Linked DNA regions of Danio rerio. The protein of the gene in region 1 interacts with the protein of each later gene in a pairwise test. Links are inferred from orthologs where the notes say so. Each region holds a gene or a part of one and is shown in the gene's direction. Other genes may lie near its edges.

Region 1 (3,500 bases):
GAACTTTAGCTACTGTTTTTGCATTCACTAACATTAACTAATGGACTATTATTGAGTAGTGTTTTCAACGTTAGTTCTGCTGGGGCTTCATAAATGAGACCTGCAGTGTGTACGGTGAGCACACAGCCGACTCGGTCATCCTCTCAGGTGTATTTTCTCATCCTCAGGTGTATTTTGTGTATGATGAAGAGGTGGAGGAAGAAGAAGCTCCTCCGCCACCCACCCCGGAGCCCATAGTCCAGGTCAACGACAAACCACACAAATTCAAGGACCACTACTGCAAGAAACCCAAGTTCTGTGACGTCTGCGCACGGATGATTGTTCGTAAGTTCACATTGATAGCAAGTTACAATAACAGCACACATATTGTCTCAACCCTTTGCCTCATATGTTTGCATTGTTAAGGTAAACTGTTCTTGCCAAAATGAATGATCAGATACACACATAAGTTGCAGAAGAAACTCTACGATATGAAACGTATGCGCTGTGTGGTGTCTCTACTTTCAGTCAATAATAAGTTTGCGCTGCGCTGTAAAAACTGCAAGACCAACATCCACCACTCCTGCCAGTCATACGTGCAGTTCCAGAGATGCTTCGGCAAAATAGTGAGATGAAAAAAATATTTAATATACATGATTAACCCAGACGCTCAGCTTGAGTTTGATTAATCTCCCTCTCTCCATCAGCCTCCTGGGTTCAGACGGGCGTACAGCTCTCCTCTCTATGACCAGGAGATCAATAACCCGGGTGAGTCACATGTGTTAATAATCAGAGGTCATTTCTGATTTACATTACCATTTAGTCATTTAGCAGAAGCTTTTATCCAAAGCGACTTACAAATGAGGACAAGGAAGCAATTTACACAACTATAAGAGCAACAATGAAGAAATGCTGTAGGCGAGTTTCAGGAGTGTAAAGTGTAAGAAGCAAAGCATTAGTAATTTATTTCTTTTGTGTAATCCAGTTAGTGGTGGAGCCAGAGAGGCAATTGCAGATTAGGAAGTGAAGTGGAAAATAAACAGTTGAGTTTTTAGTCGTTTCTTGAAGACAGCGAGTGACTCTGCCGTTCTGATGCAGTTAGGGAGTTCATTCCACCAACTGGGCAGATTGAGCGCGAGAGTTCGGGAAAGTGATTTCTTCCCTCTTTGGGATGGAACCACGAGGCGACGTTCATTCACAGAACGCAAGTTTCTGGAGGACACATACATCTGCAGAAGTGAGAGCAGATAAGGAGCAAAGCCAGGAGTCGCTTTGTAGGCAAACATCAGAGCTTTGAATTTGATGCGAGCAGCAACTGGCAGCCAGTGCAAACGGATGAGCAGCGGAGTGACATGTGCTCTTTTAGCTTCATTAAAGACCACTCGTGCTGCTGCGTTCTGAAGCAGCTGAAGAGGCTTAATTTACATTAAAACAACTCTTGATGATGATGATAAGGGATGAAGCTGTGTTTAAAACACATTCAATATGCTGATAATTGTTGAAATGTGTACTAAACAACGAGAGATGAAGCTCTCTGCTCATGTAGTCTGTTATTTTAAAGCTTTAGCTTTCGGACTATAGATAGATGCAAAAGTTATAGATGCTCCCTCAAATAGTCCACTATTTAGGAGAGTATAGGGGTTAATTTTGAACACAGCTGTTGATTAGCTTGTTCTAGTGTGTTTGATGCAATAGTATCTGAATGCAGCCTTTATGATGCAAGCTGTGATTATATCACTCAGCGATGCAATGTCAGACACAGTGCACTCAATGGAGTGAGTGACATCACTGTGACGGGTAGGGTAAGGGGTGGGGTTTGGTGAGAGCATTAAAAAGCATTGGATGCAGCCCAGATTGCATCTGCGACAGCTCTGCATCCAGACATCCTCGATTGATGAGGGTTGGACTAAACTCTGCAGGATTAAGGCCCTTCAGGAACAAAGTTCTCCATCTCTGAACTGAACACTAACCTACAGAAGCATGTCTGTGCACAGGTCAGCAGAACCGCACAGATCCGGTGTTCGACACGCTGAGAGTCGGAGTGATCATGGCCAATAAAGAGAGGAAGAAAGGCTCAGAGGACAAGAAGAACGTAAGTGACCACAGGATATCAGGATGTTACTTATGTACCTGGCAGGTCTACTGGAGGATTGGGCAAGCAGGAGCCGATGGTAGTGCATCAGGAGAAGTATGAAGATGAACTGAGTGAAGATGCTGAGAGAGAGCAGCTCCTTCACAATTCATCTTCATAAACACCACGGTATACTTCCAATAAAGTGCTTGTTTTCTTTGTTTGTAGGCAAAAAGAAGCTTAATAAGACTGAGTGAAGTAAACTGTTTCTGTAAAAGAAGTGAGACTTTAGGACCAGACAAGACCTGCAGCACAGAGACTGTTGTAGATGTGTCTGAGCTCTCGCTGTTACCTATTATGAATGAATGAATGTATGTGTGTGTGTGTGTGTCTCCTGAAGATGATGATGATGATGATGGAGGAGGAGGAAGCTCAACAGCCCAAAGAGGATGAAGAGGGCGCTGAGGGTAAGCATATCTGCACCGTGTGGTTTTGGGTTGATTTCGACCTTTATTCTGACATGTGCGTCTTCCTTCAGTCTCTCTGAGGTTTTGTGGTGCTGTGTTCATGTGGTGTACAGAGGGGTATGGAGGAGGCAATTAGCCTCTCCTGATGAGGAGAGGCTACCTGATGAGCCTCTTCTAGTGTGTGAGCATTTAAGGTGCACAAGTAACGCGCTCTGCGCTGGACTTTAGACCTGCTTTTAGATGATCTATTGCACAGTCCATTTTAGTTTCTTAGAATAGCAGTGCTCCAACAATGCGCCTTAACACACCTCCTTTTCAGACCAGAAAAACCCATGCGTCCACAAAGTGGTGCAAATGGATTTATTATTTAAACAACATGGCACAAATTATGAAAATTACTGTTGCATTGGTCTGAAAATAGCAACACATTGCGGCATACCCGTCTTCTGCCTTATTGCACCAGGTGTATGATAAGGCCATAAAACTTGGTCATGTTTTGAGACTGCTTGGATAAAACACAGTCCATTATAAAATGATCTTTGTTTGCAGTGTGGTTATCACAAATGATGTAAAGCATGTTAATGAGCATGTTTTCTTTGAATTCTAGTGATGTCTTGAACTTTAACTACCTTCAAACATGAGCTTGGCCTGCTAATTTAGTTGTTTTATTAACGAGAAAAACATTTTGAAGGGAGGTTGCATCCACACTGGCTTTATGTATGAATTACCTACAGAATTAAGTGCTGAATGGGCATACTGTATACTTCATTGATAGGGAAGCAAGATGGAGACAAGAAAGACAAAACCGCAACAGATGACAAGGTAAAAGACTGCTGTGCTGTGCTGTGTGTGTCAGAAAAGAAAAATAATCCTCTTTTTAAGATTGGACTGGCATGTCAACATTAGGAAGCCTTTTCCTAGCTTCATGAGCCTTGACTCCAGAATCTTACTGGTATTGCCTAAAAGCTTCAAGTGTGCCTGCA
Region 2 (4,102 bases), on another chromosome or scaffold:
CAAAAACGCCAACTGACTCAGCCGAGGCTCGAACCAGTGACCTTCTTGCTGTAAGGCGACAGTACAACCTACTGCGTCGCCGAAGCATTTTATTATTAAATACATATTATTGGGAGATTTAGAATGACAACTTAAACACTTGTGTATTATTTAAGTAGTCAGATATATTATATTATATACACATTATTAAAGATCACTATTAAAGAGTAAAGATCTCACCAATTTAAAGGTTTTTAGAATTTCACCCTGATGAGCTGTATTACATATGAGAATATTCTTTTATCTTAAATGTACATGTGTGTAAACCTTTTCATTGTTTTTTTCGTTTTTTTAAAGCATTAGTTTAAAGGTTTAATAAGCCATTCTGTTTCTAAAATACGTGAACAAATGTATAAAGGTACTAACTTGCTTGTTCTCGTAAAATACTGATTCGTTGCATAATTCATAATTAAAATGCAAGTAAATAAAATACTTAAATTGCAAGCAAAATCAGACTCAAATTAGTGTATATGCAGTATTATATATCATGAATATGATTTTGAGATATGGAAACTCACCTTTCCATTAGTTGGTGGCTCTTGAATATATATGTTGCTCATCTTTAGTGCGTATTATTGGAGTATACTTCCCTCACCACGGTTTCATTGATGACAGAGAATGTACAGAATATGCGCAGATGTTACAAAAACATAAGAAGCACGTCTAGCCGATATAAAGTACCAGAGTATGTTCTGTTTACAAGCGCTTCATGTCACGCCGCCGCAGAGTTTCGTTCATTCGTCATGCAGACTTTGTTCGGCCTTATCGCCCCCTATAGTCTCGGAGTAAATATAAACGTACCATTTAGATTATAGAACATTGAGAGACAGATTTTTATTTTTACAAGCAATCATTATAATCAATATGACCATGTTTTATGTGTAAAGTTTAAAACTTCAGGGCACATCACGAAAATAATCTCCACTTATATTGTCGTCTTTGAATTATAGCGTGTAGTATAGTATTGTAGTGTTGGCATTTTTTAAAACATTTTGTCCTGCGAGTGAAAATTGTGTCTTTCTATTCAGAAAAATGTATCCCCAAAAATTGTTGCTTAAGCCAATATCTCAAAATTCAGATAAACCATAAAGATATGGCAAATTATCTCTTATCGTGACAATATTTATTGGTTTTCAGTGCAGCATCTTGCGTTTATCTTTTTAGCGCTAATATTTCGTAATACATTCATATTTTTCATGCATCTATGGAAGGGATTAACTGTTCTCCAAATGGTACCATAGAGCACTCGTTCACTTTCCACCCGGACTCTTTTACCAGACGGATCGGTTTTGTGTTTTGAAAAGCGGCGGACGGAATACGACGAAAGTTATCATTTCTATCTATTTATAATCGAGTACAACATGGCTGCCCCAGGTATACTTTTGTGGGTTTGTCCATAAGCATTGCTGATTGTTGTTGATATGCTACTTCGGGATTATTCTAGGTAGTAACACTGCACGATTATCTTCGCTCGTCTGGACATTCACATCGCACACATTTACCTAAATAAAAGACTGTTGTTCCTGAATTCCTGAATGTTTTACATTTACAGTTACGGTTTACTGATTAATAATGTTTATAAAATCTCATGACGACGCATTATTTTAATTCTACATACTTTCTTTGATATTGTTTTAAATGGTGAGCTAGATGAATCCATTATGAAATATGATCAATACAGAATATATGTAACAATGTAAATGACACTTTTAAAGAAATATAAATTGAATTGAATGTCTTTTTATGAACAGGTCCAAATAAAGACAACATCAGAGCTGGATGTAAAAGATGTGGCTATCGTGAGTATGGCAAAAACATAACTTTACAGTTGACTTTGTTTTTGCTTTTTTTTTTTGTTCTGTAGTTTCTTTCCAACAATATTTCAGTTTATAAGTAGATTTTTTTTCTATATTTCTGCTTGTAAATAAATAAAGATAATGAATCATAGTCCATCTATCCATGTACCATCTTTCTATCTACACACAAATCCACAGATAAATATATACATAAATACTTAATTGAAGTGTTGTTTGGATGGCGTTTTTTTTTTTTTTTTTTTTGTCTTTCTTTACACAAATATATATTTAAAGTTTAATTTACGTTTACTTTTGACAGTTTTTCTGTTTATCTACAAAAATACATATTTTAACATTTTCATATGAATTTGGATTTGTTTGCCCATTTATCTGTCTAAACCAGGGGTGTCCAAACTCAGTCCTGGAGTGTCCTTCATAGTTTAGATCCAACTTCTTTCAATAGACCTTCCTGGAAGAGCTTGATAAGCTGGTTTAGATGTGTTTAATTGGGGTTGGAACTAAAATATGCAGGTCATCGGCCCTCCAGGACCCAGTTTGGACACCCGTGGTCTAAACGTGAACATATTTGACGTTTGGCTTGTGTTACATTTCTTGTTTTCTGTATATCTATCCATGTATCTCTATAGATCGATTTAACTTATCCATCTTTACAAAATGCATATTTAAAGTTTTGATTGAATTACATTTATGTGTACTTACAAGTGTGTCTATGCATAAATACAATCAAACTATATATTCTTTCTCTCCTTTGATCAGCTGGTCATCTTACCTTTGAATGTCGTAACTTTCTTCGCGTGGATCCAAGGAAGGATATTGTTTTGGACGTGAGCAGCACCAGCACCGAGGAGAGCGATGAGGAGGAGCAGGAAGCTCTCAGTAAAGAAAAGATTTTCGGCAGCCATTCAAAAGGTTTATTCACCGCTTTAGACTCCGATTCTGTCTTGGCTCTTTACCATTTCAGTGACTCCTTTACCTGGATACTGACATTGCTGTTAGTCCCTGATTTTGCAGTGATCATTTGCCACAGTAAGATCGTTTTGTAAAAATTGGTGTTTTCTACACAGGTTCACAGGAAGATTCTAGAAAAGAAAAGCATAAAAAGAAAAGCAAGGAGAGATCACGTGGAAAAGCAAAAAAGAGGTAGACTTTTTATTTTGTCATAATTTAAAGAATAAAAAAATCCAATTAAGATGATACATTTATAATAAATGTATGTTTTAGGGCAGGGGTCACCAATCTCGGTCCTGGAGGGCTGGTGTCCCTGCAGGGTTTAGCTTGAACTTGCCTCAGCACACCTGCATGGATTTGTCAAGTATACCTAGTAAGACCTTGATTCGCTTGTTCAGGTGTGTTTGATTAGGGTTGGAGCAAAAATCTGCTGGACACCGGCCCTCCAGGAACAAGTTTGGTTACCACTGTTTTAGGGTATTGCTGGTAGGGATGTCCAGATCCGATCACATGATCGGAAATTGGGCCCGTTCACGTGGTTTCAGACTTGATGAGAATCGGACGTAACCTCCTGGTCAGGATATATATAGCAGGAGTATGCCTGTGGTCTGAAGGTATCATAAAGTTGATGACGACAACATTGCCATAGCAATATGTGAGATATGTAAAGTTAGGATTGCATGCCAGGTATTTTAAGTTGAGGTGCTATTTGTTTTTATAATAGATTTACTGCTGCACTAAAGTCCAAAAGTGAAGAATTTGTTATTAATTGCTTGATTGTGTTCAAGCTACCACACAGAAGTGCTCTGTTTCATAACAGAGTTTTTAAATGTAAAAATAACATAACATCCTGGATCTGTTTTTTTTTTTTTTTTGCTCTTTATTCTTTTGGCATTATAGAAGTATCGGATCAGTTTCGGTATAGGCAGATACTCACAAACAATTCACTCAGACTCGAGGGCCAAAAAAACCTGATTGGGACATCCCTAATTGCTCGTTCTTCATAAATATGTTCTTGCATTGATTTATTGTGAAAAATTATTTAATTCTTCTGTTTGTGAAGGTTATGTATTGTTTAGCTATCGTTATCAGCATCCTGTTTGATTATCTTGTTTTCATACCTCCAGGTCTTATTCATCCAGTGATGAGGAGGAGGATGAAATGAGCAAAAAGAAGAAAAAGCGCAAGAGCAATAAGAAGAAAGGGAAGAAGGAGAAGAGAGAGAAAGAAAGGAAGCACAAGAAGAAACAGAAAAAGAAAGACACAGAGTCCTCCTCATCTGACAGCTCTTCTGAATC
Region 3 (3,991 bases), about 37 Mb from region 1:
CATTTACTCATATTTACTAGTTCCAAACCAAAGGTTTCTTTCTTCTGTTAAACACAAAATAAGATATTCTGTTACTTCATTAGTTATTTTTGTTTTCCTACTATAGGAGTCAACGTGTGCCAGCAACCAACATTCTTCAAAATATCTTCTTGGTCAACAGAAAATAATCTCATAAAACCACAGGGGAGGGAGAGTAAAGGGTGAGGTAATTTTCATTTTTGGGTGAACTACCCCTTTAATGTCTCACAGTAAATTCCATAATAATATATTTTTTATTATTTTGTTATACAACCTTCAAACTCTATTAAGTGTTTATAATTCTCTGCCTACAATAAAACATTACCGTATTTTCCATTATTGACAAAACATTTCCTTTATTTAATAATTAGTTCATTCATTCAATCAGACATTTCTTTATTGATTATGACTATACTGTGCTGTAAGTTCCACTTCCAATACCTATATAACATTTAGTTTGTTTATTTATTTAGACATTTGTTCACTTTATCTTCACCACAGACAGTCAATGTATGTTAAAGGCTGTAGTGCAAGTGATTGTGACAGGGTTTTTTTCATATCATCATCACCTGATCTGTACTGAATTGAACCATGTAAGGTCATCCAATTCATCCACAATTGGTATAGTGGTCAATGAGTTTTTGACTTAGGCTACAGAGGGCTCCAAACTGAAAAATTAAGCCGGCAAGTTATTGTATATTATTTTTAAGCATTTGATTATTTCTTAATATTTGATTTGTCCCACAGTTGCTCTCATTGTTGATATATATTGTTTACAATACATGCATATTTTTGTTCATGTTATTTTAGTATGTGAAGTATGAGAATCCAGAGGCTTGGTGTAGTTTTACATTATATAGCCTTTATAATGGCCTCTTTTTAATGCTTTTTTTTTTTTGTTAAATTTAGCATACTTTAATTCAATAAATTCCAACTCACGTAAGTTGATAAACAACATTAACAACAACAATTGTGATCCAGTTGCGTGTTTATAATCAGCATATGGCGCAGTCTGCTGGATTAAAACCAAATGTTTATATTCAAATGAGTGTGATCGGTCATGTGAGTAAGCAATTGGTGAACTAATTTGCCCAGAGGAACATACAAGCTTTTTAGCATCTCGGGAATCAATATTGTGAAATCAATGGCTCTGCTGAAGTGCTTTTCCCTTGTGCGATTTGTGTTGCACGTACACAGGGACACAAAAGAATTGCAAAAAAGGCCACAAAGACACAACATTAAGCTCTGCTGCTGAAAAGAAGACTTAAAATAGCATCTGAAAAGAGCTTATTGTAAGCGTAGACTACAACATGACCAACTGCACAGATGAAGATCTGGATAACTATTTGCTAAATCAGGTGACCTACTTATGCTGTCATTGGTTTTATTGAGCACCGAGATCTAAACTAAACTGTTAATGTGTTATTAGTTTTTATTATAACCATTTCATTTGGTGTTTTAATTAAACAATAATAATTTTAGATGGCTTATTTTTAGAGTTTTTAAAAATTATTTTATTCAGTGTTTGTTCTGCTCTAATCGAATGTGTTATTGTCTTGTTTTTAGCTTAAATGTTTTATATGCGAATATGCTGTACTACTCACAATCTTTACATCTTACCATAGTCTTCATAATTGACATGTTTGTTAGTTTTTTTTGTTGTTGTTATTTACTTAAATATCTATTTGTTGTTAGACTATCCAGTTTTTCTTAACACAGGCTGCATAGCATTTATTTATTTGTTTATTTTTTATTTATTATTTATTAATTTAATTAATTTATTTTATTTATTTATTCAATTATTTATTTGTAGTCAGATGAAAATATGTTTAATTCTTTATTCTTTTTATTCCTCATTTCTTGTTTTATTTTATTTTTGTATGGTAATAAAATATTTTTATTTTATTTTATTTGTAGTTGCATAACTTGTTTTATTTTATTTTATTTTGTTTATTATGCTGTCTTAGTGGTGTAATGTTTTTATTTCTTGTTTATTTTCTTTATTTTTTATTTAAAATTTGTGTTAATAAAATAAAAATAATAAACAAATAGCTAGAGGATTTCTTTTTATTTAGTTTCATTTTATTTGAGTTTAGTGTAGTATTTCAGATAGATTCAATAAAAATAAAAAAAACATTCCTTTTTTGGTTTATTCTGCTGTTTCTGATGTTAAATGTATCGTCAGGTGGATCTCAGACATCGGCAGGTTTCAAAGTGTGTCGAAGATGTGCAGAAAATCATCAAAGATCTTACTACGGAGGTCAGCTCAAAAGACGCTCGCTTCCAGTCCATCGCAAATGCTGGAGTTCATAACGCCAGCCTCAAAGTAATGCTTCACATAGGCCTCATCTATATAAAAAATACTAACTGCATTATAATGCTGGATTTATAACATCATGTTTTTTCTTGTGTCCACAATCTAATTCAGGACCAGCCTGCTTTAATGTCAAAATGGTCTGCATTACTCAGAGGGAGATGTGCATACAACCCTGCCATACAAGTAAGCAGTAGTATTTATTAAAAAGGTATAGATCAACCCCAACATTTAAATTCTATAATTAAAATTACTAGGTAAGTCAATGGGGAGCTGAACCAATTTTGGCACCATTATCATTGGACATTCTTTAAAATATCTTCTTTAATGTACCGCAGAAGAATGAAGGACATACAGGTTTGAAACAAGTAAATGGTGTCAAAATTGTACTTTTCCTATTTACTGTTGTAAACTTTAACTGGTGTTATTATGTAACATGCATGCAGCTACAAATACTTTTGCTGCGGTACTTTTGCAGCATTTACATAGGCCAGAGTGCACTGTTTGATTCAGATCTATATTCTAAAGGTTTTTACAGTGGCACCCCAGGTCTAGAAAATTATATTTTAATATTTTTGGACTAGACAAAAGACAAAAAGTCAGAGTAAGAAAAGCTTATATTATACAGTAGATAAACAGAATAGATGTACTGATTAGTTTGATGTTTTTTTTGGGTGACTTGTGCAGGTCCTCTCTCCAACCCTGTACCTGATCTCAGTGCCTCTGCAGGGCCTGATGGGCTATAAAGAGAGACGGACACGTCAGTGGCGTTATTATACACTGACTGGCTCTCGTCTCCTCTCACCTGTTCGTGAGCCGGAGAAGCTCCACCAATGGCTTGAGCTGGAGAGTTTTGTCAACCCGAGTCAGGAGTGGCACGATGCCCGCATGACCATCGAAGGTGACATTGTGCCAGCCAAGGTGGTGAACGTCTTCAAAGATCTTCTGGAGACGTCTATAAAGACCCGCGGACTGACAAGTTAGAGTTTTAATATTTGTTTAATCTGTGTGTAAATGCTGGTGAATAATGAAAAATCTCTATACACTAATGATATTCTAGTCACAAACAGAATATTAATATGCTTGATTTAATTTGATGTCTCGATATATGTTCTGTTGATAACTGGATAACAGATTTATTTATTTATTAACCTTTTATTTTTGTTTTGTTATCCTCTTATAATATCTTTTCATATTATAGATTCCATAAGTAGCACAACATTTAATCTTCTGTTTGTTTTATACACCATATACACCATATACAGTTGAAGTCAGAATTATTAGCCCCCCTGAATTATTAGCGCCCCTGTTTATTTTTTTCCCCAATTTCTGTTTAATGGAGAGAAGATTGTTTCAGCACATTTCTAAGCATAATAGTTTTAAAAACTTATTTCTAATAACTGATTTATTTTATCTTTGCCATGATGACAGTAAATAATATTTTACTAGATATTTTTTAAGACCCTTCTATACAGCTTAAAGTGACATTTAAAGGCTTAACTAGGGTAATAAGGTGAACTAGGCAGGTTAGGGGAATTAGGCAAGTTATTGTATAACGGTGGTTTGTTCTGTAGATTATCGAGAAAAAAAAATTGCTTAAAGGGGCTAATAATCTTGTCTCATAAATTGTGTTAAAAAAATTAATAACTGCTTTTATTC

What was found.
Region 2: the proteins of stac3 (region 1) and srek1ip1 interact in binary tests that used the Homo sapiens proteins (3 or more experiments, as listed by UniProt). The two-hybrid records come from large-scale screens. The link is inferred for Danio rerio from reciprocal best matches to the Homo sapiens genes STAC3 and SREK1IP1.
Region 3: the proteins of stac3 (region 1) and mab21l3 interact in binary tests that used the Homo sapiens proteins (3 or more experiments, as listed by UniProt). The two-hybrid records come from large-scale screens. The link is inferred for Danio rerio from reciprocal best matches to the Homo sapiens genes STAC3 and MAB21L3.

What each region holds. Positions count from the first base shown.
Region 1 is NC_133184.1:267,660-271,159, forward strand, and holds part of stac3 (SH3 and cysteine-rich domain-containing protein 3), read left to right. Parts: intron 1-167; coding exon 168-324; intron 325-507; coding exon 508-605; intron 606-686; coding exon 687-747; intron 748-1,973; coding exon 1,974-2,071; intron 2,072-2,450; coding exon 2,451-2,517; intron 2,518-3,292; coding exon 3,293-3,339; intron 3,340-3,500. UniProt on the Homo sapiens protein: Required for normal excitation-contraction coupling in skeletal muscle and for normal muscle contraction in response to membrane depolarization. Required for normal Ca(2+) release from the sarcplasmic reticulum, which ultimately leads to muscle contraction.
Region 2 is NC_133185.1:12,053,266-12,057,367, reverse strand, and holds the start of srek1ip1 (protein SREK1IP1), read left to right. Parts: upstream 1-1,302; 5' UTR 1,303-1,400; coding exon 1,401-1,413; intron 1,414-1,790; coding exon 1,791-1,838; intron 1,839-2,612; coding exon 2,613-2,765; intron 2,766-2,920; coding exon 2,921-2,996; intron 2,997-3,931; coding exon 3,932-4,102. Other genes in the region: spliceosome-associated protein CWC27 homolog, read right to left, coding at 558-599. UniProt on the Homo sapiens protein: Possible splicing regulator involved in the control of cellular survival.
Region 3 is NC_133184.1:37,578,377-37,582,367, forward strand, and holds the start of mab21l3 (protein mab-21-like 3), read left to right. Parts: upstream 1-1,191; 5' UTR 1,192-1,328; coding exon 1,329-1,376; intron 1,377-2,203; coding exon 2,204-2,344; intron 2,345-2,446; coding exon 2,447-2,518; intron 2,519-3,019; coding exon 3,020-3,311; intron 3,312-3,991.